Regions from separate parts of the Mus musculus genome. Here all the other regions are reported to be linked to region 6. Evidence: microRNA targets listed by miRTarBase, many of them from high-throughput screens and not tested one by one. Region 6 holds a microRNA gene; each other region holds the end of a gene's coding sequence. Distances are from middle to middle.
Evidence for each region. Region 6 holds the annotated microRNA mmu-miR-10b-5p (UACCCUGUAGAACCGAAUUUGUG, at 2,461-2,483, opposite strand). A microRNA usually pairs through its seed, bases 2 to 8, with sites in the 3' UTR of a target mRNA and lowers its output. Matches are read on the target gene's strand: a 7mer-m8 pairs with bases 2 to 8, a 7mer-A1 pairs with bases 2 to 7 and ends in A, and an 8mer does both.

Region 1: the mRNA of Syt15 is a reported target of mmu-miR-10b-5p. Seed matches in the 3' UTR shown: 7mer-m8 at 1,686-1,692.
Region 2: the mRNA of Cdk7 is a reported target of mmu-miR-10b-5p. Seed matches in the 3' UTR shown: 7mer-m8 at 1,910-1,916, 7mer-m8 at 1,794-1,800 and 7mer-m8 at 309-315.
Region 3: the mRNA of Siglece is a reported target of mmu-miR-10b-5p. Seed matches in the 3' UTR shown: 7mer-m8 at 3,501-3,507.
Region 4: miRTarBase lists Elmo2 as a target of mmu-miR-10b-5p. The part of its 3' UTR that is shown has no 7-base or 8-base seed match.
Region 5: the mRNA of Sox7 is a reported target of mmu-miR-10b-5p. Seed matches in the 3' UTR shown: 7mer-m8 at 1,406-1,412.
Region 7: the mRNA of Zbtb44 is a reported target of mmu-miR-10b-5p. Seed matches in the 3' UTR shown: 7mer-m8 at 1,462-1,468 and 7mer-A1 at 428-434.

Annotation. Positions count from the first base shown.
Region 1 is chr14:34,227,343-34,231,520 of GRCm38, reverse strand. Syt15 (synaptotagmin XV) reads right to left here. Exons shown (of 8, transcript NM_181529.4): 8 at 1,100-3,482. The coding sequence ends at 3,340. Among named protein-coding and RNA genes, the nearest start is that of Syt15, 9.4 kb to the right of the region's middle.
Region 2 is chr13:100,699,647-100,703,824 of GRCm38, forward strand. It overlaps Cdk7 (cyclin-dependent kinase 7), which reads right to left. Exons shown (of 12, transcript NM_009874.3): 12 at 1-3,860. The coding sequence ends at 3,832. Among named protein-coding and RNA genes, the nearest start is that of Cdk7, 29 kb to the right of the region's middle.
Region 3 is chr7:43,647,692-43,651,869 of GRCm38, forward strand. It overlaps Siglece (sialic acid binding Ig-like lectin E), which reads right to left. Exons shown (of 7, transcript NM_031181.2): 7 at 3,379-3,998. The coding sequence ends at 3,795. Ceacam18 (carcinoembryonic antigen-related cell adhesion molecule 18) reads left to right here. Exons shown (of 6, transcript NM_028236.1): 6 at 785-1,604. The coding sequence ends at 822. Among named protein-coding and RNA genes, the nearest start is that of Siglece, 10 kb to the right of the region's middle.
Region 4 is chr2:165,286,616-165,290,793 of GRCm38, reverse strand. It overlaps Elmo2 (engulfment and cell motility 2), which reads left to right. Exons shown (of 21, transcript NM_080287.2): 21 at 233-2,763. The coding sequence ends at 433. Slc35c2 (solute carrier family 35, member C2) reads left to right here and starts at 2,956. Exons shown (of 10, transcript NM_144893.2): 1 at 2,956-3,010.
Region 5 is chr14:63,948,224-63,952,401 of GRCm38, forward strand. Sox7 (SRY (sex determining region Y)-box 7) reads left to right here. Exons shown (of 2, transcript NM_011446.1): 2 at 1-2,509. The coding sequence ends at 436. Among named protein-coding and RNA genes, the nearest start is that of Sox7, 6.6 kb to the left of the region's middle.
Region 6 is chr2:74,724,379-74,728,556 of GRCm38, reverse strand. Mir10b (microRNA 10b) reads right to left here and starts at 2,487; the gene lies at 2,420-2,487. The region is part of intron 1 of Hoxd3 (homeobox D3); the gene reads right to left. Hoxd4 (homeobox D4) reads right to left here. Exons shown (of 6, transcript NM_010469.2): 4 at 2,579-3,094; 5 at 852-1,681; 6 at 1-295. The coding sequence starts at 1,278.
Region 7 is chr9:31,067,981-31,072,158 of GRCm38, reverse strand. Zbtb44 (zinc finger and BTB domain containing 44) reads right to left here. Exons shown (of 6, transcript NM_001115130.1): 6 at 1-3,414. The coding sequence ends at 3,404. Among named protein-coding and RNA genes, the nearest start is that of Gm17508, 13 kb to the left of the region's middle.

The DNA.
Region 1 (4,178 bases), not on the chromosome of region 6:
CTGATGGAGCTGAAGCGATGGCTCATAGCAGTTAGGAACACTTGCTGCTCTTCGGGAGGATCTGGGTTCAGTTCCCAGCACCCACATTAGGTAACTCCATTCCTAGGAGCTCTGGTGCCCTCTTTTGGCCTTCTTGGGCACCTGCATACATATGGTGTACACACAAGACAAGCAGCCACCCACACATACACAGAAGTTTAAGGTTTTTAACTTAAAAATTATTATAATAGCTGTTTTTTATTATTTCATGATTTTTAAAAAAGATTTATTTATTTGAAAGAGTTATTGTATATACAGTGTTCTGCCTGAATGTAGGCCTGCAGGCCAGAAGAGGACACCAGATCTCATTACAGATGACTGTGAGCCACCATGTGGTTGCTGGGAATTGAACTCAGGACCTCTGGAAAAACCTTTGAGCCATCTCTCTAGCCCTATTTCATTTTAAAAAGTATCTTCTTCAGAAAATAAAAGCCTATCTAAGAAGAATATATGGTTTTTAATTCTTTTTTTATAGTTAATTGCCCTCACAGCTAACATTTCTTATAGTTTGTGTTTTATATGTTTGATTACTATCTGTAAGATGCTTTATCAAGTTTATAGCAGGATGTTCTTTCAGAGATTTGTATAGTAATTATAAAGCTTATTTCCACATGGGTTCACACATGGGTTGTCTTTGTACTATGCTGATGTGCACAGAGCTATATTCTGAAGCCCCACAGTGGAGCTATGATGCGGGTCAAAAGAAACAGACAAGATCCTTGTGTTTCACAGAGCTTCAATTATTTTTTACAATTAAGATCGCACATACAGTAAACATCAAAGATGTTTAGAAAAATATTTTTCCTGTGCATTATGAAAATTCAAAATTTAAAACTAGAATGTAAATAAACTCTTAACCAGGACATGGTGGTGCATGCCTTTAATTTCAACTTGGGAAGCAGATGTAGGTGGATCTTTTATGAGGTTGGGGCCAGCCTGGTCTACATAGTGAGCCCCAGGCCAGCCAAAGATTTAAATAGAAGGCACTGCCTCAAACAGCCAAGCAAACAAATAACAGCAGCAACAACAAAAAACCTCAAACCTCTCTCTTTTTTTTATTAATTAATTTATTTACTTTATATCTGACAGTTTTCTCCTTTCCTCTCTTCCCAGTCCCCTCCCCGACTCCCTTCCCACTCACTCCTCCTCAGTTTCTCTTCAGAAAAGGGGAGGTTTCCCACGGAAGCCTGGCATATCAAGTTGTAGCAGGTCTGCGTGCATCCTCTCCTGTTGAGGCCAGACAAGACAGCCCAGTGGGAGGAAAGGGACCAAAAGGCAGGCAACAGAGTCAGAGACAGCACCTGCCCCTGCTGTCCACTTAAGGACCCAGTTACACAGCTATACCATATCATATGTGCAGAGGCCTTAGGCTAGACCCATGTAGGCTTTCTGGTTGGTAGTTCACCCTCTGTGAGCCCTTATGGGCCCAACTTAGTTGATTCTGTAAGTTTTCTTGTCGTGCCCTTGACCCCTCTGTCTCCTACAAATCCCCAAACCCTCTTATTAAAAGTAAAACAAGTGGCCGGGCGGTGGTGACGCACGTCTTTAATCCCAGCACTTGGGAGGCAGAGGCAGGCAGATTTCTGAGTTCAAGGCCAGCCTGGTCTACAAAGTGAGTTTCAGGACAGCCAGGGCTATACAGAGAAACCCTGTCTCAAAAAACAAACAAACAAAAAACCAAAAAAGTAAAACAAGTGGATAAACATATCATGCTAACGGATTGAAAGTTGAATAACCTACATTTGTCAGAGGGTTCTCATATTAGTATGTGTTAAATAAAATTGGATCAAATTGTATACTTTTCTGAGAAACTGATCACCTTATTTTAAGATATTCTGTGGGACTGTAAAACTTTCTTCTAGAGTCACAGGATCTGAGACAGCCCCTGCGAGCTCACACTGGCCCACGAAAACCTGCATGCCTCTTTGCCATTCTAAGTCTACACATGTCCCTACAATATGGCTGCTCCTCCTGTCACTCCTCAGAGCACACTGCCTGCTGATTTCTTGCCATTACAGTTTCTCAGAGGCCTGTCAGATGTACCAGTCCGCCAACTTTCCCTGGTCATCCAGGGAAAAACCACTGCAAATCACGAGTCTCACGCTGGACTATGAGTGTGGTGGCATCCATGGCCTCCAGGTTCCAGATGAAACACTGTAGTTCTATTTCAAGAATCTCCGTGTGTGTGTGTGTGTGTGTGTGTGTGTGTGTGTGTGTGTGTGTGTAGCTATTGGAAGCCACTGCAGTGTGAGTCACTCTGAAAGTATGTACATGAAGTAAGAGAGAAAGAAACAAATAAGATGGTGTGTTCTTTTGGACCAGTCAGGCAGAACTGATATTTGCGTACTGATAGCCATTAGAAGTGGACCTAAAGAGGCACAGATAACGCTCCCGTCACTTCACTGCAGACGACAAGAGAGATACAGGCAGGGAGTTCAGCTTTAAGTATAGTGCATGGTCTTGTCTGCCTGTCTGCAGCTTAGGGTACAGACACACAGAGAAATAACAGGCACAGTGGCTGCTCACTAGATCAACTAATGGGCATTTGGTGACAGCGACTTTGATTCTGGGGACCACTGACCTAATGAAGTTTATACCTCTTGTCACAGTCATCGATCTTGTGCACAATACCATGGTCCCATGGATTCACCTGTCCAAAGTAAGAGTTAGGAAATGAATGCCCAAATTCTGATAACCAGGTAACCATGAAACCCAGCAAGAGATCACCTGGAGTGGGGCTTGAGGTGTGGCATCCTGAAGAGGATGGCTGTGCTCAAGATGTCATGCAAATTTGGCTGCATTGGGTTATATGGCTCCAGGGAGTAGATATGTGGCAAGCTGTGCCGACCACCTCGTTGACCTCCTGGTATGTGGTTGGGCTGCTCAGTAGGGCTCTCCCTGTAGTGGCCCACAGTTCACTCTACTGGGTGGAAGACAGAATGCCCAGCTTGAAAAACAGTGCAGCAGTGGACTCAACCCACCACCAGCTTTCCAAGGTGGCGAGACTTAGCTGGTGCTGTGCTCCCATTCATGTGCAGCTGTGCTCCACCAAACATATCAGTTCTCAATCTCTGAGATCCTGTTTGAGGTCATGACCTTGATGATCAGGAGCCCTGCAGATCCGGAGGGGTTAGGTGGGTTGGGAGAGGCTCCTGGTCAGATACTGGCTGAAACTGGGTTGTATCCCTTTTCCTTCCTGCACATGAACACCCATGAGCTCAGGCTAGCCCCACAGTGCACCACTGAATGTTAGAGATGTCCACGGTGTGGTGTCGCACATCCTGATGGGGACACAATGGCTCAGGGCTCCGTGGGGCGGCAGAGTGCGTGCCAGCGCTTCACCAGCTCCTTCGGCTTGCGAAGCATCTCCCCCCAGTGTTCCAGCTCTTTGCCACGGGTGTACATGTAGGGGCCCACTACCACGCGGCCCAGGGGGGAGCTCTCTGCAGGGGAGGGAAAGCTTTGTCACATCCTTAAATACAGAAGCTGTACTCTCATCCTAAGGTCTGCACAGACTTTTGTTTCCTATCCCCTGCTCTCTGGGAGGAAGTAGCAAGCCCCTCCTCCCTGAGCCTGAGCCTGAGCCACCCAGCACTGTTCCCTCCCCCAGGGACCTTAGAGAAGAAGATGAGGTGAGAGCTTGCATTGCAGCCCTGTCCCCCACTGCCCCGACCCCTGCCCCGGGTCACATGAAACCCAGACATGTTGAATTGCTATGGGAGAAAGCATTTTTTTTTTTGTAGGAGGAAGGTCTCTTCCATTGCTTCCTTGCACACCGGGCAAGAGCATGAGGCAGTAATGTCCACCCATCATCTACCACTGGGGAGAAAGGTCCCAAATCGGGCACAAGAACAGCCATGGCCCAGTGGCTTTGCTTCGTAGTTAGTGACGGTGAATTCTAGTGGATGGGTTGTGCAGGACCACTGGCAAGGATAACCCATCCAGGACCTTGAACAGCCATCTCGGAAGGCACGAGGAAAGGCAGAGAACACAATACTCACGACAGGAAACCAACTGCCTGACATCTCTGACAATTCACCCAGAACGAGGAAGAAGCAACTACCCTTGAACCTCTTTCTAGGGTACTACAGACAAAGTCCAACTGGACTAAGGCTGGCCACGAGCCCCAGGCTACCTAA
Region 2 (4,178 bases), not on the chromosome of region 6:
GTATGAACTCTGGAATCCCACTCTTGTTTGTCCTTTGAACAGGTGGGTAGACATTGTTTCTACCCCACCCCCAACCAAAGGCATTTTAAAACAGTGGCCCATGAGAAAAATCAGACTTGAAAATCATACTTATTGCTAATTTGTGGAAAGTGAGCACACAGTAAAAGAAATGTGAGCTATGTTAAAAACCCAAGAGTTAAGCCAGCCGGTGGTGGCATTCGCCTTTAATCCCAGCACTCAGATCTCTGAGTTTGAGGCTAGCCTCATCTACAGAGTAAGTTCTAGGATAGCCAAAGCTACACAGAGAAACCCTGTCTTAAAAAGACTAAAACAAACAACAACGAAGAACAAGCATTAGCGTGATGGAGCATGCCCATCATCCTAAATGGGGTCCTTAGGAGGATAAGTTCAAGGCTAGCCTGAGATAACCTGCTTAGGCATGTAGGAAAGAAAGAAAAAAGTTAAGCCTAGAGGTAACAGCACCAAAAGCCTGGGCAACAGGGCACTCTATTAGGACTAAGAGCTGGGACTCAGGCTGTGGCTCAGTGTGCATCAGTTATGTGCACAGCCCTAGGCTTGATCCCAGCACCAAACAATTTCTAAGAACTATAAGAAGGCCATTTGGTGGTGCACACCTTTAGTCTCATCACTTGAGAGGTGAGGGAGGTGAGCTCTGAGTTCAAGACCATAGTGAGTTCCAGTACAGCCCTGTCCAAAACTACAAACACTGTGTGAGCTTGGTAGCAGATTCTGCCTAAAACCTCTGTTGTGGTTTGAATGTGAACTGTTCCCCGCAGGCTTAAGTGTCACTCTGTCTGGGTCACTGGGGTAGGCTTTAAGGCTGTCTAGCTCCACCCTACTCCTGTTCATTCTCTGTATCTGAGTACAAGGACCGTGCGACCAACCAGCCTCCTCCACCATGGTGGACTGAATTTCAAGGGAAATCCTAAGGCAAAATGAGGCCTTTCTCCTTTAAGGCGCTTTTGTCAGAGAACTGTATCATAGCAACAGAGCAACAACTGAGCCGCTCAGAAGTTAAAGATACACTACTCCAGGGGAAGCAAGCCAGTAAGGAACATCCTTCCATGGCCTCTGCATTAGCTCCTGCTTCCTGACCTGCTTGAGTTCCAGTCCTGACTTCCTTGGTGATGAACAGCAGTATGGAAGTGTAAGCCGAATAAACCCTTTCCTCCCCCAAAAGAAAAAAAAAGATACACTACTCTGCCAAAGACACCCCAAAACCAGTGAGTATAAAGAGGAGCATGTATCTGCACTCCCGGGGCTCTACAGTAAGGTCAAAGGGTCTCTGGAAACTCATGGGCAAGCAGAGTGGCTTGACATATTTCCCCCAAAAACACTGGCAGAAAAAATTGACACAAGGTTGTCCACTGACATACATGTGCTGTGGAGTGAGTGCACACATGCATGCTTATCAAACACACAAAAGATAAAATAATCACTGTGCAGTTCTTAAAGCATGAGATGATGGCTAAAAGATGGGTCATTGTAGCTCTCGCAGATGACCCAGGTTTACCTAGAACACAATCACATAACTGTAGGAGACTGCCACCTTCTGAACTCGAAGTACCAGCACACATGTGACAAGCAGGCAAAGCACTCATCCACATAAAAAGTTAATAAAGAGAGAGATTAAAATTTTCCTGTGGGGGCCAGGCGTGGTGGCGCACGCCTTTAATCCCAGCACTTGGGAGGCAGAGGCAGGCAGATTTCCGAGTTCGAGGCCAGCCTGGTCTACAGAGTGAGTTCCGGGACAGTCAGGGCTACACAGAGAAACCCTGTCTCAAAAAACAAACAAACAAACAAAAACCAAAATAATTTTTTTCCCTGTGGGGAAAAAGATGCCTATTCAGCCCCAAGGACGAGCACGATGCTGAAGTCTGCATAACCAACCCTGTTGATCCTTATTTCCCCAGCTGTTTCCCTTTAGAGCTAACTTTCTGGACCAAGCCATTCTGCCTTAGCACTTTTTCTTTACTTACTAGTCATTCCTAATATAACAAGTAGTTGTCTTTATTCATGAGACGGGGTTTTATGGTATATCCCTGGCTGCCTGAGAATTTACTTTTTAGACCAGGATATCCTCAAACTCATAGATACCTCTCTGCCCCTGCCTAGCTCACCCAGCTCAGTAGTTGATTCTTAACAGGTTCTCTATGCCTTTGTGAGGCTCCCATGCCAAAAACTATTCTTGTTTTGCTTTTTGAGATGGGTGGGGCTTGCTTTGAGGACAGACTGGCATAGAGCTGTTTGTAACTGGGCTGGCCTTAAATCTGAGGCAGTCATTACTCAGCCTGACAAGGATGAGATTATAGGCACGAGCAGCCAAACCTGGCCCCATGCAAACGGGTATTACATAATTTTGTAAAGTTTTTCTTCTATGAGTTTTGTATCAATCATAATTTTTGAATCCCCATAAGACTCAAGGAGAATGCAGAATAGGAGTGAGGTTTTGCTCACCCAAAGGTTCCATACAGAAAGTTCATGTGCAGTGGGAGAGGACTCAGTAATTAGGCACTGGCTGCTCTTTCAGAGGACCTGGGTTCAATTTCCAGCACCTCGTGGTGGATTATAGCCATCCAAAATTCCAGTTTCAGGGGATCCAATGCCATTTTCTGGCCTCCTTGGTCACCAGGAATGCTCATATGGCCAACACCTTGTCCCCTTGTTTCAGGCTTGCTTGACACTTGTAAAGGAGTTGAGCCATGCTACTTAGTTACTTTAATGTGTTACAGTGCCAGGTGTTCATAGATGGTAGGACATACTCTACCACCTTTACACACAAACTGGTCCTCACTACGTAGCTCTGGAGCTCACTCTGAATCCAGGCTGAATTCAGAGAGATCCAACTGCCTCTACCTCCCGAGTTTGGACAGGGACAAACCACCACTATGCCTGGCGATTCGTGCCATGTTCATGATAAAATTTATACAGCAATAAAAAAATAATAGTCCATAAACAAAGCACAGGTAAATTACACTATTTATGTACTATATTATCATATGGTAATTAAATCAACTCAATTTAGATCTATTAATATGGAAAGAAAGTTTCTAAGTAAAAAACAGAAAGCAATAGTATGAGCTATAGTAGGATTATTTTGTTTATTTATGCTTTTTGAGAGAGGACCTTACTGCGTAGCTCTGGCTGGCCTGGAGCTCACTATGTAGACCAGGCTGTCCTCAAACTTAGAGATCCACTTCCATACATGCTAGGATCAAAGGCATAGGCTGCCATAAGGTGAGATGGAACTCTTTGAAGATAGCAGTACAAAACCATGGAAGACAAACACAAATCTCCCCGAGGCCTCTTCCTTGGGGGAGGGTCAAAGGAATGGGATGAGCAGTGCCAAGGTCCTGGCTGTGCGTGCAGGAGGAGCGTAGTGAGTTCGAGATGACAGGACATCAGGGAGGCGTCAGGGCCATCTTTTCAGGGCTTACTCTGGGTAGTAAGTAGGCTAAAGCTCTTGCAAAACTGCTAACAGTATTGTTTTCTGTTTTCAATACTATACCTAATGATCTTAAAGTGGCAGATCACCCAGAGCTGCAGAATAACCAGGAATCGCATGCCAAGCCTCTCCCAATGCACTGTCAATTACATTTTAGAGACTGCAGTTATCCTTGTACTCTAATCATAAATCACAAATATTTATTGTAAAATACATTTAATAAAAATAACCCGTAGTTTTACATATTTTACATCTGTAGAATATTTACAAGTTCTCTCTTATAGCATTTAATATTCACTATTTTTTCCATTATTTGCCTTTGGATCATTTATTTCAGCAGTGAAACTGTCCATTGTTCGCTGCAACTAAAAAATGAGCTTCTTGGGCAATATTCCTGAAAGTAAAACAGAAAGGTTGTTCACTCACTGTACTCCAGAGCATTATCTAACTTACAGGCATTGCTAACCATTAACACAGAGTAAGAACCGCTGGGCAGAGGGCAGGAGAGCTGGCTTGGCAGTTAAGAGCACTCACTGCTCTCCCAGAGGACCTGGGCTCAACTGCCAACAGCCACACAGCAGCATGAAGCATCTGTAACTCCAGTCCCAGGAATCTGATGCCCTCTTCTGGCCTTCACAGAGACTGCACACATGTGGTACAGACATACATGCAAATAAAATATTCATACACATAAAAGTAACAAAAAATTTCA
Region 3 (4,178 bases), not on the chromosome of region 6:
CAGCAATAGAACTGAAGCTAGAACAGATGGGTTTTGCTAATTATTTTTTTTCCTGACATTAAAATAAATTAATATTAAAAAGCATGGGTGGAAATATTAGGAACGCTAGGCACCGAGGTTAAGCCCCAGGTTCATCTCTTCCACCGGCAAGTGTGTAGAGGGAAGATTTGGATCACTTTATTTATTTCTTGTTGCATTAGGTGGTTAGTGCTACTCAAAATCGCCCCATGGCCATGGCACCATGAGTTTCTTGCTGCCACCTCAGTGTTCTGGATTCTCAAATGAAAGACACACATGTAGCCTTCTATTTTAATATGTCTTAAACAGCTCAATGGCTGTGCCACTCCCAAACTTTCATGTTGTTAACACCTCCCTTCCGATATTCCTGAGTTATTACTTACTAAAATCTATGTTCTATCTTTGTTACCCTAGACCCAATGGGGAGGCCCTGGGGTGCTCTTTCCTGGCTCTTATATGACTAGTATGCTCTCTCTTCTGATGCTCTCAAGCCTGGATCTTATTCCTTTCTCTGCATGGCGATCCTCTTCCTTCCTCTACCTTGGTTCCTTTGTCTGAGAATCCTAAAGTCCTGCCTATGTCTCCCTGCCCAGCTATTGGCTGCCAGCAACTTTATTTACCAATCAGAACCAACTGGGGGCAGGGACTCAGTGTCTCGAGTAATTTGAGGAACCCAGTTAATATAAGCGTTAAACCAAATCTACAATAATTTCTTTCCCAGGATTTTATGAACACAAGATGTGACTTCTCTCATTTCGTCCCACAGGAAAAACTTGTCATAAGTGTCCATGGCAGACCAACTAGGCAAGGAGATGATGGAGAGAGACAAAGGAGAATGAGTCTCCTGTGGGGACCGGCTGAACTGCACCAGCACCAGGTGTCTCTGGAACATTCCAGGAAGGGAACCATCCCAGGTTTAGTGAGCTGAAGAAATCTGGGCTTCTGGATAAATTGGAAGACTCCCTGTGGGACCTGGACAAGGGGTGACATCACAGGGAGCCTGGCCATTAATACCATCTGCTAATCAGAGCTGGCCAAGCTGGGGCAGATCGTGTAAGAGCTCCAGGATCTAATTCTAGGCACCGCCCCCCATCCCCCCAGTTTCCAGCTCCACATCCTTACTCTGACACTAGGGGATCTTGAAAGATTCTTCAAAGATGCGCAGATACCAATGACAGAGAAATGAAGCCATTTTAAGTTCAGACAACTGGTGTCAGTTGCTTAAATGGGTCCTACACACAGGTTTAAGAAGCACACTGGTAGAAAGGCTTCTCAATGAGGAAGGTAGTTGCCTTCTAATTATAGATGAATACACAAAGCTACATCTGATAGGGCCACAGAGGCACAGAGATGGGGTCAGAAACAGAAAGAACAGATCAGGGGCTGGAGGAAGAGTATATACTGCCTTTGCAAAGATCCCAAGTTGGGCTCCCAGCACCCATGTTGGGCAGCTCACAATCACCTGTAACTCCAACTACAGGTTATCTGATGCTCTCATCTGAACTCAGCATGAACTGCATTCACACACACACACACACACACACACACACACACACACTTGAAAATATATATGAATATATAAGAAAGTATGTTGTATATGCCCATGATCCCAGGCTTTGGAAGCTGGAAGCAGGAGGTTCGGGAGTTCAAGGTCATCTTAAGCTACATAGCACGTTCTAGGACAGCCTGGGGTACTTGTGACCCTGTCTGTTTTAGTTAGTATTCTATTCCTGTGAAAAGACACTGTGACCATGGCAACTCTTATTTTAATCGGGGCTGGCTTACAGTTCAGAGGATTAGTCCATTACCATCATGGCAGGAAGCATGGTGGTAGACAGGCAGATATGGTGCTGGAGAAAAGCTGAGAGTTCTGCATCTGGATAGGCATGGAGCAGGGAGAGAGGGTGACACTGGGCCTGGCTGAGCTGCAGAAACCTCATAACCCTCCCTCAGTGACAGACTTCCTCCAACAAGTGTATACCTCTAATAATGCCACTTCCTATGAGTGACATTTTCATTCAAACCACCACACTGTCTCAAAAAAAAAACCCAAATAAAAAAGTATAGATTAATCAACAATGATAGGCACAAATACAGATTCAGTCCAGTTTTATGTTCACATGCAAGTGAACATTTGCAAAAATGTTAAGTATTATCAGTATTTCCTCTTACGTTAGAATCTTCTTTATGTTTTGCTCTCAAGTGCTTTTCTCTCACAAAGTATATGCACTGTTTTTAAAAACCAGGAAAAAGAAACCGAGTTAAGGCACGTTTGGCAGCCCCTCAGTATCCAGCACTGCTATCTGCACTTTCTCTGAGCTACGTTCAGTGGTGCATCACCAATAGCAAAGCAGAGTGGAGCAGCATCTCTGCCAAATTGTCTGTCTGTCTGTCATCTTTTTTTCTATCATCTATCTTGTATCTACCATTTACCTTTTATATAGCATCTATCTTCTATCATCTATCTACCTTTCCATCATTATCTGTCATCTCTATGTCTCTATTTTCTATCATCTATCTATATATCATCTACTAACCCTTTTCTTTCTGCTATCTATCTATCTATCTATCTATCTATCTATCTATCTATCTATCTATCTATCATCCATCTAGTTTGGGTTTAAATGTACATTGTCCCCAAAGGCCCACATATTTGGACATTTGGTATCCAGCTGGTCGCAGTATTTTCTAAAGCCTTGCGATCTCTCAGACATGAGGCACAGCTTATAGAAGTGGGTGTCTAGGACTGGGCTTGGAAGATGATACCTACATCTAGTTCTGGTTTGAGCCTGCTGCTTCCTGATTCATCAAGATTTGGAGCCTCCACTACATGTACTCACTTGAGCACCATGTTGCCTTCCTCGCCATGATAGACTGAAACCATGAGCAAGAATAAACCTTCCTATCCTTCATGTTTCTGTCAGCATCCTATCAACAAAGACAAGAAAAGTAGCTAATACATACAACATGAAACCATAAAGGGATTGTTTGGGGAGAGAAAGGAGCCTAGCGACTAATAGGATGCTAACAGGAGAAGGGGATGAACATGGCCAAAATATGTGATACACTTGGAAGAAAATATAGCAAAGTCTATCACTGTGTAAATAATATATGCCAATTTTTAAGTAAAAATTAGATCTAAAACAGTCAATCTTATTACTGGAGAGATGGCTTAGTAGTTACGAGCACAGGCTACTCTTACAGATGTCTGGGTTCAGTTCCTAGCACCCATGTGGCCTCTCACAACCCTCTGTAACTCCAATTTCAAACTGTCTGATGACCTCTTCTGGCCACTGCAGGCAGGAGGCATGTAGGTGGCGCACAGGCCTGCGTGCAGGCAAAACATTCACACACATACAGTTACAATAAAGTCAAGTGCTGGGTGGTGGTGCACATCTTTAATCCCAGCACTTGGAAAGAAGAGTTCAAGGGCAGTCTGGTCTGCAGAGCAAGTTCTAGGACAGCCAAGGCTACACAGAGAAACCCTGTCTTGGAAAAAACAAAAGGAAGAGGGGAGGAGAGGGGAGAGAGGAGGAGGAGAAGAGGGGGCGGGGAAGGAGGGGAAGGGGAGAAGAGGAGTAAAAAGGTCAAGCTTATGATTCCCAGGGCACAATAGCAGTTGTGTGGACAGGGCAGCACAGGGGCATGGGCAGCACAGAACGCCTGTGTCACAGAAGGAATGGCTCTGAAGCCCTGTGTATCACATGTCAACCTAGGTGACTCTTTCCTTCTCCAGAGCCAGCCTCCTGGGGCCACCATGCTTTCTCCAGCCACGGTCATGGCCATGCGGTCCTTTGTGGAAACTTTATCTCTGAGTACTCCGTGGTAGTGTCCTGTTGCCCCCACAGGTTCATGGGCTTCATCTCGTGAAAGCTGAGGGTCGCATAATGTATCTCTTCCTCTGTGGAGGAGGGGGCCGCCTCAAGTATGGAAGGCAGGGGCTCAGAGCTGTCATCTGCCTGGGATTCAACCAGGGGATTCTGTAAAGAGAGGAAAGGAGAGAGTCAGAGAAGACAGCAGGGGCCCCTGGAACCCCACATCTACTCACCCGCAAACATTTTAAATTTTAAATTGCATATATGTGTGTAGGGGTATATACACATAAGGTGCAGTGCCTACGGATGCCAGAAGGTGGCATTTGATTCCCTAGAGCTGAGGTT
Region 4 (4,178 bases), 91 Mb from region 6:
GTTTCTGTTCTCTTGGTCTCCAGAACTGCATTGTAGATCACATTTCCTATTATTTTTTAAATTCCCACATGAATCCCCCAGACACTATCAGTTGATATGATGCTCATCTTCCTGCTTCCCTTGCTCTTGTCTCCCATGAGTTTTGCATATTTTGAATGGTACCCAACAGCACTGCTGTGAGTCCCACTGCAGCCCCCAGGGCCACTGTGTCACTTTTGCAACTTGCCCACAGTACTGCATCTGGATTGATGGACTCAGCGCTCTCCTGGGGAAGGATATGTCCAGCGAGCTAACCAAGAGCGACTTGGACACGCTGCTGAGCATGGAGATGAAGCTGCGGCTTCTGGACTTGGAGAACATTCAGATCCCCGAGGCGCCACCTCCGGTCCCCAAGGAGCCCAGCAGCTATGACTTCGTCTATCACTATGGCTGAGCGGGAAGGGACTGGGGCCCAGGAGAGACACTGGCAGCCCACGCCACTTGTACAAACTCTGTAGTGATTGTGGTAACTACTCCTCAGAGCCAGTGGGACCCAGAGCTTCTCTCTGTCCCATCCACCAGGAGTCATGAAGTCAGGGCATGCTGCCCTCCTCAGCACCACAGAGCCTGGGTCGGGCTTGGAGGGGTGAACTCATGAGGCTCCTGCCTCCCGCTCTGCGTCACATCTGCATCTGGTACTGGACCTACTGACAGCCATCCCCTTTCCTTTCAAGTCTCCTCTCTGGTTTGTTGGAGAGCCCATGTGGGCCAAAGCTGGTCCATGAAAGGCTGACCATGGGGGCAAGAGGCCTGGGGAGCTCGGTGAGAGCCTCGGAGTGACTGTCTTCAGGTGGCTCAGGCAAGAACAGGCCTTGAGCTCCTGCTTAATAGGTCTCTGAGGGCTCATCCCAGCCTCGTCCTGTGCCTCATGCTGCTGCCTCTGGGGTTTGGCCCTACCATGTCTAGTCTCTAGAGACACCCGTCTCTCTTGTCCTTGCAGGTATCAGGACAGGTAGTAATTTTGCCCCAAGCCCTCAGCCTCATCCTGGCCAGGCAGAGGCCTCCAGCCTGAGTCCTGCTCTCTTAGGCTTTAGGAATGAACACTGCAGGGAAAGGCAGGCTGAGGCCTCTGGCTCCCCCTACCCCTCCAGTCCTCTCTCTTCCTTGCTGAGGCACAATATTCCCATGCCCCCTCAGTTACAGGCCCCTCCGTTTGCTTCCCTCCTGCCTCAGACAGGGGTGTTGCCTTCCCTTTCTCCCCTTCCTGGCGCTGTGGTTTGTGCCATTAGCCATGATTTCACAGCGGCTGGGGCCACAGCTGTGCCACGGCCTTCATTGGTGCTGCAGCACTGGAAGCCCACGCGCACAGCCTCTTTCCTTGGACGCATGTTACCATGGTGGTATTCAGTACTGGTAGCCTGGCATGGTGGGTACTACCCAGTGAAGAGTGTACTATATATTTTCTTTACTATAGGCCATACTTATACAGACATGTATATATATTTATATAAGATCTTCCTATCTTAGGATAGAATGTTTAAGGGAAAATAAAATCAAGAACAAAACTGTAGTGCTCTCAGTCATGAGCTGTGAGTGTAACCAGAGAGCAGCCAGGAGCTTCCTGTCAGTGATGTGTTTTCAATAAATACTCTTTCATGTAGACTGCTTCCTATCCACACCTCTTCCTCTGCACTTATTCCCTGTCCCAAGGGTGAGGAGCGGCCTGACAGCCTTCATTTCAGTGTGCCTGGGAGCATGTGGAGAGCTCCCAGCCACTCTGAGAGCATCTCCCTCTCCCCTCATCTCTCCTGCTCTTGTCATGCGCAAACTACTCACACCTGCTGGCTAAGGATGCTCACAGCTTGTGCTACAGGACAGAGCGTTTTCTGCTCAGTCGTGCTGGGTACAACGTGGAAAGGCATACTGTACACCCCCAAGAACCCATCCTCCCTTTTTCCCCTGCCAGGGACACAGCCAGGGAACAGCTCGAGTACTTGTGCCTTTCAAAGAAGACATGTTCCGCACCCCGCATGTTGCCTGCAGTTAGTGCCCAGCTTGCCAGCTGGTGCTTTAAGCTGGTGCTCCCATCAGCAGCCTTGGTAGCTGGGAGGTTTGAATGAAGGCAGTGATGAAAATAGATACTTCCCCTTGCCTCAGTCAGAAGGGGGTGAGGACAGGCGCTTTCAGAAGGCATAGAAAGTGCATGCAACGCAGGCTTTGAGGGCTGAACGAAGCCAAGACCTTGGGCTGCGATGGGCACCATTGTAGGTCTCAGGAAGCATTGAATCAACGAATGCTTTCGTGATGCCAGCTGGCAACAGCCTACAGCAGCAGTGTGCACAAAGCACAGCTTACACGCTGGCCTTGAGCCTTCTGCTAGGAGCCAGGAGCCCAGCCAAGTCATGTGCAAGGATTCCTGTTTGCAGCCAGTCCTAGTAGAGCCCGGATGAGCAGACGCCGAGAACTGGGCCAGCTCGGGTCTGCAGCCCTAGCTTGCATGGCTTAGAGGTTATCTTGCCCACATACTCTGTACCTGAAATGAGTCAAATCCAGGTGTGCTAAATTGGTGTTCTGCGGCCACTGTAACCTGCTTCCCTGGGCTCCCGGTAAGACTAGATCCTTCTTACCCCCTTCCTTTTGGGTTCCATTTCCTCTGCGATGAACTTCACGTACTCAGCCTATTGAATAATTCTCACAAATTTATAGGCATACGCAATGTCACAAAGTGTCCATTATCACTTTGCCAGGACGTTTTACTAATAAAATTTAATGGTTGTCATGTCATTTCCCTGCTGCTTGAAGTCCCTGAAGAAATAAGCCCTGTACAGAGTTATTAGTAGCTGTGATTCGTTCCTGGTGCCCGTTTAAGGGAAAGGTACAGAGGGACCGTGTTGGGAAGCTTGCTGTAGCCGCCTTAGAGATGCTCTGGCTCCGCCCACCCCACCGACTTCCGGCGGAAGTCTCGCCTCCTGAGGCACAGTGCCCACCTCGAGCTTCCGGCAGGAGGCTCCCGGCGAGAGCCTGGGCGGAGGTAAGTGGGCGTGTGGGCGGTCCCCTGCCTTCTCGCCCGGCCTCAGTTTCCCCAGCTTTCCAGTGGCTCTGGGCCCGTTCGCCTGGCATTCGCCGAGCACGTACGAGGGGCCGGGTCTTGGGGATGGGGGGAACCAGGTGGATACTGCCGAGCAGGCGCGGCAGGGACACGTGAGCAAACACAGTCGTCACGCGGTGTTAAGTGCCACGCGCAATGGGGGTCCTGGGGAAGGGGACCAGAGCAGAGAGCATCAGGTTGCCTTGCCGAGGAGGACGCCGGCTGATGTTCCGGGCACACGGCTGTACGTGGCGTTGCAGCTGGCAGGCAGGATCCAGGGAGAACTTGCGGACCCAGCCCCGGGGTCTCCGGTCTGTTGGGACCGGCAGTCTTAGTTTCTTTCCCTGATGCAACTTAAGGAAGGAAGGAAGAAAGAAAGAAAGAAAGAGCTTATTTCCCCCATAGTTCTTGGTGCTGTCCGTCGTGAGGAAGTCAGGGCAGTAAGTGCTTGAAGCAGCTGGCCACGTCGTTTCCACAGTTCTGAAGTATAGAATCTTGAGAGCCATCAGTGCCTGCTAGTGCACTCTCCCTTCTTTATGGAGGCCAGGAGTTCCTGCCCACAGCTACCTGGGTCTCCTCACATCGGTTAACCTGATCAAGAGAATCAATCCCTTCCTGGTATGCTCCGAGGCCCGTCTCCCAGGTGACCCTAGCTTCTGTCAGGTTGACCACACTAACCATTCCACCAGTCTCTGGCTCCTTGTGGACTGCAGGCAAGTGCAGGCAGTAGGTGAACGGAAACTGTGGTGTAGTGTGTGGTGGTGGGAGAGGAAGTGAAGAGAAGTGGGTGGGTCAAGGAATAACTAGAGGTGGACTTGACAAGGCAGGAGATGAGGGATGCCGAGGGAGGCAGCAATGGCTTCACTGGTGCTGACTGCCTTCTGCCAAAGAAAACAGTTGTTCGGTTGGCCGTTTCTAAGTGACTTGAGAGTCAGATGAAGACCCGAGGAATATTAAGGTAGCTCCTTGCAGCACCTTGAGGTTGAGCTGTCGGCTGGAGTTACGGGGTTGGTCGTGGTGGGCTGGGAATGAAGGCGGCAAAGAGAGGCTGGGCTGCAGCCCTCAGGCATCTGTGCTTACTGAATGAGTCAGAAAGAAGGAAGACTCCAGA
Region 5 (4,178 bases), not on the chromosome of region 6:
GGAGTTCACACCTAGTCCCCTCCACTGCAGCCACCCTCTAGGTTCTTTAGCCCTTGGCCAATCCCCAGGGGTTTCTATGATGTCCTCTGTTTCTGGATGTCCCCCATCTCCAGCCTATTACTCCCATGCCACCTACCACCCTCTCCACCCCAACCTCCAGGCCCACCTGGGCCAGCTGTCCCCACCTCCGGAGCACCCTGGCTTTGACACCTTGGATCAGCTAAGCCAGGTGGAACTTCTGGGAGACATGGATCGCAATGAATTTGATCAGTATTTGAACACTCCCGGCCACCCTGACTCTGCTGCAGGGGTTGGAACCCTCACTGGGCATGTCCCGCTCTCCCAGGGGACTCCCACAGGCCCTACAGAGACCAGCCTCATCTCAGTCCTGGCTGATGCCACGGCCACGTATTACAACAGCTACAGTGTGTCATAGAGCTGGAGGAATGGAGCCTGGCCCAGCCCTGCCATCCCCTCCTCCCTATGAAGCACTGAGCTGAGCAGAAACTGTGGCGATGCCACTCCTTGGTGGCAAGAGGTCAAAACTGCTGTTCCAGAGCCTTCCGGTCAAAAGCCAGGATCCAGCGCTCCTTCTGTCCCTTTAAATGTGTTTTGTCGGCTTCATCAAGGAAGCACAGCCTTGGGAGCTGTTTGCAGTAGGATTTCCTAGCCGCTCTACACCATCAGTGTAGCTGATGGGAAGAAGCCCAGTGCATTGGAGCTCCTGCTTTTGGTGTAGCTACTTCTGATCTGTGGTGCTCCCAGTAAGATGGACCCTGGGCCTGGGGTCCATCTCAGTTCAGTCTCTAACTGGCAAAACCCCACTCTGGCTTGACCAGCCCTGACTATTCTCTCCTGTACAGTGAGGGTTGGCTTCATAGCCAAGCCCTCGCTCTATGGATCTCCAAGTTACAGCCCTCTCAAGGCCAAGGAAAGTATGAATGAATGACTGCCCAAGGACCCAGGTTTTCTGCTTTCCTATAATACTGTCCACAGCCACCCTAGAATTCCAAAGAAACTCCTTCAGTCGAGAAAAATATTCACCTTTGGTCTGGCAAGATGGTGTGGGATGTCTCAGTGGGTAAGACTGCCTGCTGCCAAGTCTGATGACCTACGTTCTATATCCGGAGCCTACATGGTGGAAGAAGAGAACTGACTCCTGCAAGTTGTATTCTGACTTCCAAATGCACGTGTGCCCCTGCATTATATGTGTGCTTGAGCATGCTCACATGCACACACACACACACACACACACTAAATGTAATTTTTTTAAAGGAAAAGATCTACCCTGGTTCGGAAAATTAATGAGTATGTTCAACTGCATCACTGAAAGCAAAATCAGATTAGAACTTGTTTTGTTTTGTTTTGTTTTGTTTTGTTTTGTTTTGTTTTGTTTTGTTCTGAGACAGGGTTTCTCTGTGTAACCCTGGCTGCCCTGGAACTCACTGTGTAGACCAGGCTGGCCTCAACCTCAAAAGTAAGCCTGCCTCTGCCTCCTGGGTACTGGGATTAAAGGTGAGTGGCACCACACCCAGCCTGGATTTTTTTTTAATATATACTTTAGATACATTATTTTTGTTACATACATCTCAGGCGACTACAGTGTGAGAAATGACCTTATGCAGGCATGCCTATTCCCAACACTGTGCCCCAGGTGTGTACCCTGATTTAGATTCTTCTCAACTGTGACAATGTCTCATCCCCTCATCACAGAATGAACCAGAGAGCTAGAAACCTAAAACGTCTGTCCACAAAAGTGTTGGGGTGTGCTGATTTCTAGAGCAGAGCTGTAGCATACTCTTATCTACAGATGCAAAAGATGACTCTCTGCCCAATGTCTGCTGCCCCTTGCTCCCAGGAGGGCTTTTCTCTCTTCTCTGTTACTCTCCCTCCAAACTGGCCCCTAATTCAAAGGGCCCCTCGCTTGGAATCCCAGGCACCATTCCCCTGGGCGTGAAGGGAACTTGGTTCTTGTTTCTCAAGTGGATACATCAGAACAATCACCTATCCCACAGTCCTTTGGCTGTCCCAAACAAACACCCTGTGACACCCAAAGATGTTTCTGAGCTTTGGTCGCACCCCAGACATTTCCATTCTCTAAACCTCCTTTGAAGGAACATACCAAACACTGAGCTAACAGACTCTTGTCTGCCCTTGGACACGTGTATATTATTGCCTTTATGAAATGTGTTTTTATATTCTGCTATTATGTCCACCTTATATTTTGTATTGTTGACAGATCCCCAAGAAGTCTTATTATAATATCACTTATAAGATATACTTAATCTTTATGCTATTACTGTATATACCATTTGGTAACAAATAGTGAATTGTTGATGATGTAATTGACTGGTGCCCAGTCCCGGATGGATATTAATAATCTCGTGAAACACTATCACAGGCATTAAGCTACTCTGTTCCATTTTTTCAAGAAAACTAAATATGCATGGAACAGTTATGAAATTGATTTTTCAAAATGTTTAATTTAAATAAATTTTTTTGTACCTTCACCATTCTATCCTTTGAAATAGTATTTTTTTTAAATTCATACTAGGTCTCAGTGCTACCTGTAATATTGTTTGCGTTATTTTCTGAGTCGACTTTTTATTTTAAGGAGTTTTTGTTATATAGGGTTTTAAATTTCTTTATGAGTTGTGCTGAAAAGACAAACTTCGATTCTACACATTAGTGCTGTTTTTGTTGACATTGGAAAAGGAAAGCCATAGCAACCCACATGAGCAGTTTCTCCATGCCTATTCAGTAACTGCACGCTTCCCAAGTCTAAGCAAATGACCATCTTGTCCTCTCCCCTACTTGAGTGGTGTAGCAGTATGCAGTGGCCCTCTGGACTGGACAACATGCTGTCGGGGAGACAGGCACACAGCCTGGAATCAAGGTCTGAGACAGCTGGGAAAGTCCAGGATGCACGCTCAGTCAAAAAAGCTCCTGGAAAATCAGCCTGGCTCTGTCCCATGTATGGCACCTAATATGGGCTGCTCTTCATGTAAAGAAGGAACTTGTTTAAGTCAAAGGTAGCCATGCCCCTTCCCATGCTCCTCTGGGCCAACGAGGGCCCTCCTGGGTTTCTGCACATCCTTCTCTGCTGATCATAACCCACACCCATTATTCAGTAGCACTTCATTGTTGTTGGGAGTGTTAGAGAAGGTTTCTGAACTGTTTCTCATCCACAGCCCAGGTGGGCCTCATCATTCCCACCACATTACACAGCCAGGGACACTACAGTTCCGAGTGGGAGATGGCGTGAGACTCGCCACCCTCCTAGGATGTTGGCTTCAGCACCCATGAGGCGCATTCATTGGGAGCATTCATGGCTGAGGGTTTAGTGCTTCTCCTTGGTCCTGGTTTTGGTGTTGGAGATGTGGCCTCATGTTGTGGCTCAGACTGACCTGGAACTCACTAGGTAGCCCAGACTAGCCTTGGACTTGTGGAAACCCTTCTTTAGCCTCCTTGGTTCCATTCTCTGTGCCTCACTGGGGCATGGATTCAACTGCTCCTCAATCCATGACCATCTCAGGCCAGAGAAGAAGAAAGCAATTATGGGTGACAATTGAGATGACACAGAGCCGTGATGCTCTGCACCTGGCCAGTGGTGGCCATATGCAGAGAGCACTGAGGTACTATCCTTGGCTATACTGAGCTCTGAATTGGCAGTATCTGGTCAAGGTATGCCCCTTGGCACTGCCCAATGGGCATGCATCATTGTAACACACAGTGTGGTTACACTGTCCATGCCGATGAGACGACAAGAAGGCAGGAGGGTTCTCTGCTCTGAGTGGGACACTGTGGGAACCAAAGTCTCTGTGGGTCCCAGCTACCTGTGCACCCTGCCTGTGGTACTCAGGTTACAATGTGACTGATGTCATCTTACAGGATGACAAGCCATGACAGCAAGTTGTTTTTCTAAAATGCTGACGTTCCCATGTCACTCTTTGCCTTAAGATCTCTGTTCCTGTTCCTTAAGCAGTGAACAACAAAGGTGACCCACTTTGTGGCTGAGGAGCCCTGTATTTCAACTCCCACTTGCTTATGTGCAGGGCAGTCTTTATTTTCACAAATGTTGTAGAAAGGGAAACACTTGTGTTCTTTTCTCTAAGACACACCCCCACCATTACATCTCCTGCCAACTATACAAACTTCAGGCTTGTCATATCTGCCCA
Region 6 (4,178 bases):
TTGGCCATTGGCTGCAAATGCTGGCCCGGGGCAGCTGAAGAGGAGCAGGAAGATGAGGAAGAAGACCTGCCCTTGGTGTTGGGCAGTTTGTGGTCTTTTTTCCACTTCATCCTCCGGTTCTGGAACCAGATCTTGATCTGGCGCTCAGACAGACACAGGGTGTGAGCGATTTCAATCCGACGGCGCCTGGTCAGATACCTGTTAAAATGAAATTCCTTTTCCAGTTCTAGGACTTGCTGTCTGGTGTAGGCCGTCCGGGAGCGCTTGGGCTCCCCGCCGGTGTAGTTGGGGTTCACTATGAGACAAAACATACAAGACAGCCAGGTCAGAGCCCGGCCACTAGTTAGGCCCCAGGCTTGCCTCTGCCCTCACTTCCTGGCGCGTCTCGCAGCCCTCGGGCCCCCCCTGTGCTCCAAGCTGGCCAGCTTCCTCCCTCCCGCCCTCTCCCTAAACATACACACACTCCCACCCAAGCCCTTCCATGCACACACTCCCCACGCTCACAGGTCCTCCTCAAAGGTTCTCCCTTGCCACTGGCCCACCAAGAGCTCGGTATCGCCAACATTTTGGAAAGGTCCTTGTTTTGCTCTGCGTTCCCTCTGCTGTGGAAATGGAGTCCTCCCCCCACCCCATCCCCATCCCCACCCCCTTTTGCGCCCACAGCCAAGCAGCCAGCCACATGGTCCCGGCCTGCTCCCTCAGCTATAAAAATTTATGGAGAGAGTAATTGCGGCGCCCAAGGAAGCTGCACAAGCCCCTACCCATTCGCAACCCCTGGGGTGGGGGGTGCAGGCCAAAAGATGCAAGGAGTGGTGCGGGAGGGCTGTGAGGTCGCTGCCCCCACTCCTTACCCGAATTCACGTGCACCTTCTTCATCCAAGGGTAGACCACAGCGGGCTGCTTGAGTGCTGTCCCGGGGGGCGGCTGCTTGGGGCCGGTGGGCTGGCTGCAGGCCCGAGCGCCAGGCAGGGGCGCAGGCGGGGGCGCTGGGCACCGCTCTCCCGGGGCACCGTAATGACTTCCCGGGCCGCTCGGCTCCTGTCCGTGACCCCTCGCGGGCAGCGCTGAGCCAGGCCCGGGCCCGCCGCCTCCGAAGGGTTGCTCGCCGAAGTCGGGCCGTGGGTAGAGCCCCGAGGGCTGGAAGTCGGCGCCCTGTGCACCGCTGCCGTAGTAGTCGGCTCCCTGCTCGCCTAGGTAGCCACCCTGCAAATATTCCTCGCACGGAGGAAACTTGGGGTCCACGTACTTAGAGTTCACCATATACGAACTCATGGCCATTAATTTCAGAAGGTAGAAAATACTAATTTTTCTCGTGTTGTCTTTTTTCTCCTTCCATTGGGCCCTCCTACTTGCTGTCAACTGAATAAAGTTGGGCGGCCATGTGACCAGGCCAGCCAATAGGAAGAAAGCATGTTTATCACCGGGTTGGTGAGCATCTCATAATTTTCACAAATTTAACTAAATAACATACGTGTAATCAAGTGACTTGCCATGCCACATTTGAGAGTCCCTGACAGATGCTAATAGAGTTCTAATTCTATCCCCGGGGTCCCAATTTCCGGCAGGTAATCTCGGCTTTTGTCTTCCACTGACTTTGCTAACCTCCCATGCCCTCCTTACTCACCATCGCCTGAAGCAGCCCCCAGAATGGACATAGTTCAAAGAAGAGTGAATTCTCCTACTGGGGTGCAAAATAAGGAAGAATGAGTGTGGGCAATGTGGCCTCCGAGTTGGGTAGAGTCCTAGGCAGGCAGGCAGGCTGCCCGGCCAGCTGGCAGGAGTCCTGGACTCTGACATACAAAGACCTGTCTTGGCTTTGTCTTCATCAGGGTCACCCAAAAGTTACCAGAATCTGGCGGACCTGAATTGAGTTAGGCAATGAGTAACCACTATGCTTTTCTGCCAATGCGCAGGCTGGGGTGTTTCTAGTTGAAGTTGGATCTTTCTGCAGGAGGCCCTCACAGTTCTGAGTCTGGTGGCTGAGGGGTTGGGTCATATTGGGATGGTGGGGAGGGGGACCTTAACCTTGCCTAAATGTACCCCAACGGTCTCCGATGGCCTATCTTTCAGTTTGTCTTCTTCCCACACAAGGGCAGGTGAGCCCCATTTGGGTACCTTTGTGTCTCATGCTCCTTCAGAGCAGGGCTTCTGCTGGAGCTTTCTGGCCTTTCACCTCACTCTCTAATACCCTAAAACCTGGCTCTCTGGCTTTACACTCAGACAACCACTTGAGCACCTACTGGAATATCTATAGGAGTTTCTCCAGGAAAAGGCTGTACAATTTCACCAGGCAAAGTCGATCATCCTGGAGTCTAAGGTAATGAAAAAGAAAGAGGTGGCTTGCCGGCTGGGCTGCCAGTACTCTCCGCGCCTCAGTCTCTGGCCATGTCGGAGATATATGAAGTTTTTGCATCGACCATATATTCCCCTAGAATCGAATCTGTGACTATGTGGGTACCACACAAATTCGGTTCTACAGGGTATATATAGACAACGTTACAACCTCGGGTCCTACCCAGAGCAGACATTCAGGCAGCTGCCAGACCTGATCTCTTCAGCACAGCCACCAGGAACTCACCAAGCCTGGCTTTCAGAGATGGTGCAGGTAGGCTCGGTGCATTTCTAAGTATTGCTGCTCGCTACAGCAATGAGTTCCCTCATCGGCTTGCCAGGATGGGGGCCACCAAGTAGCTGAGCAGCCAGGACCTTCTTCTTCTTAAAAAAAAAAAAAAGAAAAGAAAAGAAGGGGAGTTTTTTTTTCACCCCAGAGATGGCGGCTTAATTGCCCCTTCTCAGAACCCAAATCTCCCGCCCCCTTATCAAGTGGTATTTCCCAAAAAGAAGCAAAGGCCCTCAGCAGCAGAAAGGGAGTTTTGAAAAAGGCAAAAGGAATAGTCTTCACCAGAACCTAAGCCAAGTGAGTGGTCACAGCTAGTCCTCCTAGAATTCGAGCATTTACCTTTCTGGGCCCTCAGCCCCGCCGGACTTTCGGATCCCGCTGCTGCTGCTTCTGCTGCTGCTATGACTGCTGCTGCAGACCCGGAGGCAGGCGCTGTTTGCGGCCACCGAGCCTCCCTGGGCTGAGACTGTCGAGCTAATGGTGAAGGGCAGGGCGAGGGGTCATTCGAAATCATTTACAAACATATCACAAAGTTTCATTATTTTTGCTTTGCCGACAGCAGCACAGAAGAGTACAAAAGTTCGCGAATTTCGCCGCCCCAGCGCCTCCGCTGTCCTGGGCTTGCCCCTCAATTCAGGGCATCAAGAGCCCAGATGCACTCTGGGGCTGGGCTGATTTCAGGGGCAGAGGGATGCCCTGGCCTGGGCCGAGCTTATGGATGCCTGATAACAGATTGAAGATGTCCACATTTCTAAGTATTGTTTTGATCCCTTCCTATATAATTCGAAAAATCACTTTCAAGCCCCATGCCTTGATTTTGATGGGGTGGGGCAGGGAGACTCCCCTCATCATATCTGGCAAAATTAGGTGCTCACTTTGACCCTGTACTTTGCCCTTCCATGCCCTCCCACCATCTTTCACTTCCACTATTTTGCAGGGATTTCCCAGGTGTCAGTTCTAAAAAAAAAAAAGGGGGTTAAAATCCGTTTGTTTAAAGACTCTCCCCAGTTTCTCCTAATGCCAGCCCTTTCACCCATGGACACGTTGACAGGCCTTTCTGGGGACACTGGGCCTACCTCTGTTTTACCCAGACAAATTGGGGAAGTCCGATGGGTTGAGTGAGGACCAAGATGAGTACACACATTTTCATATTTGTTAGACATTGTGACCTGCATTTCACCTTATTGCTCGACTTGTTCAGACAGGTCAAAGCCAACAAGTTATTGATGAACAAAAGCGTTAAATATTCACCTCCCTCTCAACTGCCCATACAAATGCTTTTGATCTCTCCGGCTTTTTGTGCTGTGGGCAGCTACAAGGCGCCAGCAAGCAAGCAGCCTCAGCAGAGATGAGCCCTCACAGCCAAGGGTGCCAAGGAAGAGGGCAGGGGCAAGGCCAGAGAAAGTCTGGGGAGTCCAGATTTTTCACCATGGAGCCTGGTTCACTGTGTGCAGGCCTGGTTCATAGAAGGAACTACAAGCTGTAAAGGTCTTCACTTCCCTGTTAGCTCAGCCTCACCAGGGGCCCAGCAAAGAAACCTGGCCCTGAGCCCAGTCTC
Region 7 (4,178 bases), not on the chromosome of region 6:
AGGATTGTTTAAAATGGCCAATTAAGGGAAGTGGATATTAACATTTATCTACATCCATTTCTTGAAAAATTTAAACGCATAAAGTAAAGGTTACTGTCAAATTTCTGTTTCTGAGTTAGTGATTTCCTGACATTACACTCTGAAGGCTAGAGTTTGGAAATGCAAAGACTGACACGAGGAGCTACGACTCCTGACAACACGGGAAGAGCTTTGCTTCTAAAGCACATCCTATCTATTTGGTAGTTGGAAAAAAAAAAAAAAAACTGAAAACAAAGCTTTTCTTATATAAAATGCTTTGTTTTTTAAAAAGTAATTTATCTAGCATTCTAAAATTTAAGCCCTTTAAATATCACAAAGGTACCCTTGTTGGCCTTACAAAAGATAGCTACCTTTAAATATTCTAAACAAGAATGATTCTCTGTTTAGTTACCCTGGTGATTTCTATGACGGGATCGTAACTGGCTTTCATCTCTTCAATGTTTTCCATATGTTCTGGTGAAAAGTATACATCTAGGCATTCCTCTCTTAAATCAACTTTAAATAAACTTTAAATATTACTATATATACAATTATCTCTTGCAGTTGTATTTCCTATAACAGACCCATAAACAAAATATCCTTAAAAATGTAGAGTCTCATTGGAACAGAAAAAAGCCTTTGTATCATTTTATATTAAACACTGGTTAGGTAAGTTTATTAAAAATGTTTGGGTAGTAGGCAACTAACCATTTGTGCATTCATAGTATATTCAAATCTGTCACTAAGGTTGGCTACAAGCTTTGCCACTAGGGATAAAAATCCACAGGGAGGTGTGTCCTTCACAGGGAGGCTGCCAGGGCTGTCCTAACACACGACTCTTAGGATAGAGTAGACTCAAACACTTTCAATCAAAACAATCTAAAAAGAATTCTTCAAATCAATTCATCTCTGATTTATTCTCATTTCTTTCTTCCTTTTACTTTTTTCTAGCTCTTAACAACAAAACAAAACAAAACAAAAAACAAAAAAACCAAGACAAAACAACCCAATTTAGAACCAAGAACATTTACCATACTAAAATAGGATTCTAGTGAGTTTTAGGATTTCTTTATTACTAGGCACAGTTTTCAAAGATCATGTATGATAAAAAAATAAAAATGACTGACTTTCCTAGTTGGTTTTTCTGAAAGCTACCCACCTATGCTTGGGAGCAATCAGCCATGAGTCAGGTAAAAAACAACTGGGACTCAGGGTGGGGGTGTGACCAGTGACAGGGCACGTGCGCATCATATACAAAGTCCTGGGTGCAATTCTCAGTATCAAGAAGAAAAAAGAACAGAGATAGAAATTAAATTTCAGCCGGGCGTGGTGGCGCACGCCTTTAATCCCAGAATTTGGGAGGCAGAGGCAGGCGGATTTCTGAGTTCGAGGCCAGCCTGGTCTACAAAGTGAGTTCCAGGACAGCCAGGGCTACACAGAGAAACCCTGTCTTGGAAAAAAAAAAAAAAAAAAAAAAAAAAAAAGAACCCAAAAACAAAACAAAACCAAAAAACCTACAAAAAACCAGAAATTAAATTGCAGAATTAATAAATTTTAAAGAAACAAATTACTATAATATAAAAAGTAAGTAAGGTTTGGCATTGGGATAAAAGTCAGATCAGGTGTTTGACTAAGACTATAGTCTGATCTGGGTGTGGTGATGTGTGTCTATAATATATAATGGTAGCAAAGGTTGTTGGGAAACTGAGGCAAGAGGATGATGAGTTCTGGACCAACCTGGACTACCTATGATCCTGTCACAAAACAAAAGAGAGTGTCCAAAGTCAAACAAACAAACAAACAAACAAACAAAATGTTGTTTTTATCTTCTAACCCCATCAGGGGCTATCATAACGATAAACATTGGGGCTATTTTCTATATAAAAAATTACACAAAAGTTCATTACTCGTGGCTTCATAAATATTTTAGATCAAAGAGGCTTTAATGGCAAAAGATAAAAAAGTATATCCCAATCTAGAATATCATATAAATGTTATCGTCTGAGTAGCAAAGTTTTTAAGATTCTGGTCTTAACAATCCCTCCCTCCATGTCTGAGTCACAGATGATCACTCACAACCTCGTCGTATCTTTTACATTATTGCTTACATCTCGTGAAAGCTTTTAACAAACTTGGCAATACCTCAAAATATTTTGGAATAAGGACATTATATTGTTGTCATATGTGACCTTGTAAACAATCTTAATTGGGTTAAGAATGTAGCCTCAAAACAGAATTCTTTTATTTTGTCCAAAACAGCACAGCATCGACATCCTCAACAATACATAAACCTATATATAAAATATAGAATATCTTCACTATTTCTCCTTTATATGGCAGCACAATAGTATATGCAAATGAAAGTGCTGTTGGTGGGACACGAGGACACTTCTCTGAGCAATGCCCTAGTTAGCCAGGTGTCAGCATTCAATGACCAGGAAGAGAAAGTCTCAGGAGAGTTTCTGCAAAGCTGGGTATACGTACCTCGTTCTGCACCCTGCCATTCCACATGCAGCCTGACTCTTCTCAACCACACCTCTTAGCCTCTGGAGTGGTGCTATAAAGGTACAGGAAATACCTGCCTGATACTAATTTTTCACTATGAAAATTCAAAATGGCTTAAAAAAGAATATACTGGATTTCAGAAGTTATTTACCTTCATCTGAAAAAAACAAAAACAAAAACAAACCCACCACAAATACTTCCAAAACTACAGGGTTTATAACACCCTGCACTTAGGAGTACACATTTACTTAGGCCTTGTCAAACTGTTTAATAACTTCTCATTAGCCCTCTTCTCTCAGGAAGGTCAACCACAGCCTGAGTTCTTTTGTATCTGCTGCTGCCCACTTTTAACAATGGGAGGAAGAACTGCCATGTTCTAAGTCAGCTGCTTTTCCTTAAGTCTCAAAGTTTATGTTCTGTTTCAATGTTACCTTATTGTATACATACAGAAGCAATCTCTCAGCTATGAAAAAACAAAACAAAACATAGAACCCTCCAGTTTTAGGGTTTACAAAGGGAACCCTTCTTTAAAAATTAAATTAAATTTAAACATATGAGACCAAGCACAGGCACTTTCCAAAAAACCAAACCCCAGGCCAATCACAGAATTACTCAATAGTTATAGCAGGCAGCTCTGCCTTAGGGGGGTCATCCCTGGGCGCCTCAGCAGGAGCACTGGTCTTTGGCTGCTCATGCAGTTCCTCCTCCTTCTCTGTAAGCCCACCAAGAGAGCCCAGGGGAAAAGTGCTTTCACAATTCTGGGTTGAGGAGACCTGTGAAATCACAGGCATTTGAACAGAAGAGTTGCTTTCAAAAGTATGTTCTCCAAGATCATACTGAACAAGGGTCTCTTCTTGCTCCTGGTTTAAGTAGTCCGGTACTAAGAAATCACTAAATGAGAGGCAAAGGATAAAATACAAAATTAATTTTCAAACTATAATAAAGAGATATCATCTATAATACAAGTCTGGGGCTTTTCATTTCACTAATTATTCAATGAAGTTAATATAAATAAGCTTTCCCAAATATCAACTGAAGCCATTCAGTAGAACCAATGTGCATCCCACCTCCCTATGGGCAATAAAAAAGATTAATGATCACTTCCAGTGATTCTCTGGACACTTCAAAGGCCTTTCTGGATCTACATATAGGAGTCTGTATATAATGTGAGTGGCATTTCACTAAAGCAAGCATCATGTGACTAAGCCGAGTAAGAGGTTTATATAGACCTAGCTCTGTATTTCTTTTGTAATACCTCTTTGTAGAGGTTAGCTAAGAAGCTCAGTCTTTATGCATGCATGACCTTACATACATTTACTATAGGAAGTTGAGAGATGTAGAAATTAAGTTTTCACCTTACTATGTATGGAAAAAGTAGTACACTTTACTAAGAATTTGGAAAGAATCTCCTATCACACCTGGAGTGACCACTTAATAATTTGAATATTCAGTAGTAATGGACAAATTAAAATCTGTCTGTCTGCAAAGTAACTTCTAATGTCTTGTGTATATTTCCTAAAAAGTCTTCAAGGGTTAGAGAAGAGTAGTGTAAGATACAGGGTCCTATATGGGAAAGACACACAGGAGTGGTAAAACTGGACTATTTAATTCCTCAACAACTATGTCTAGTAAGTATTAGCTAGCTTTAATGATAT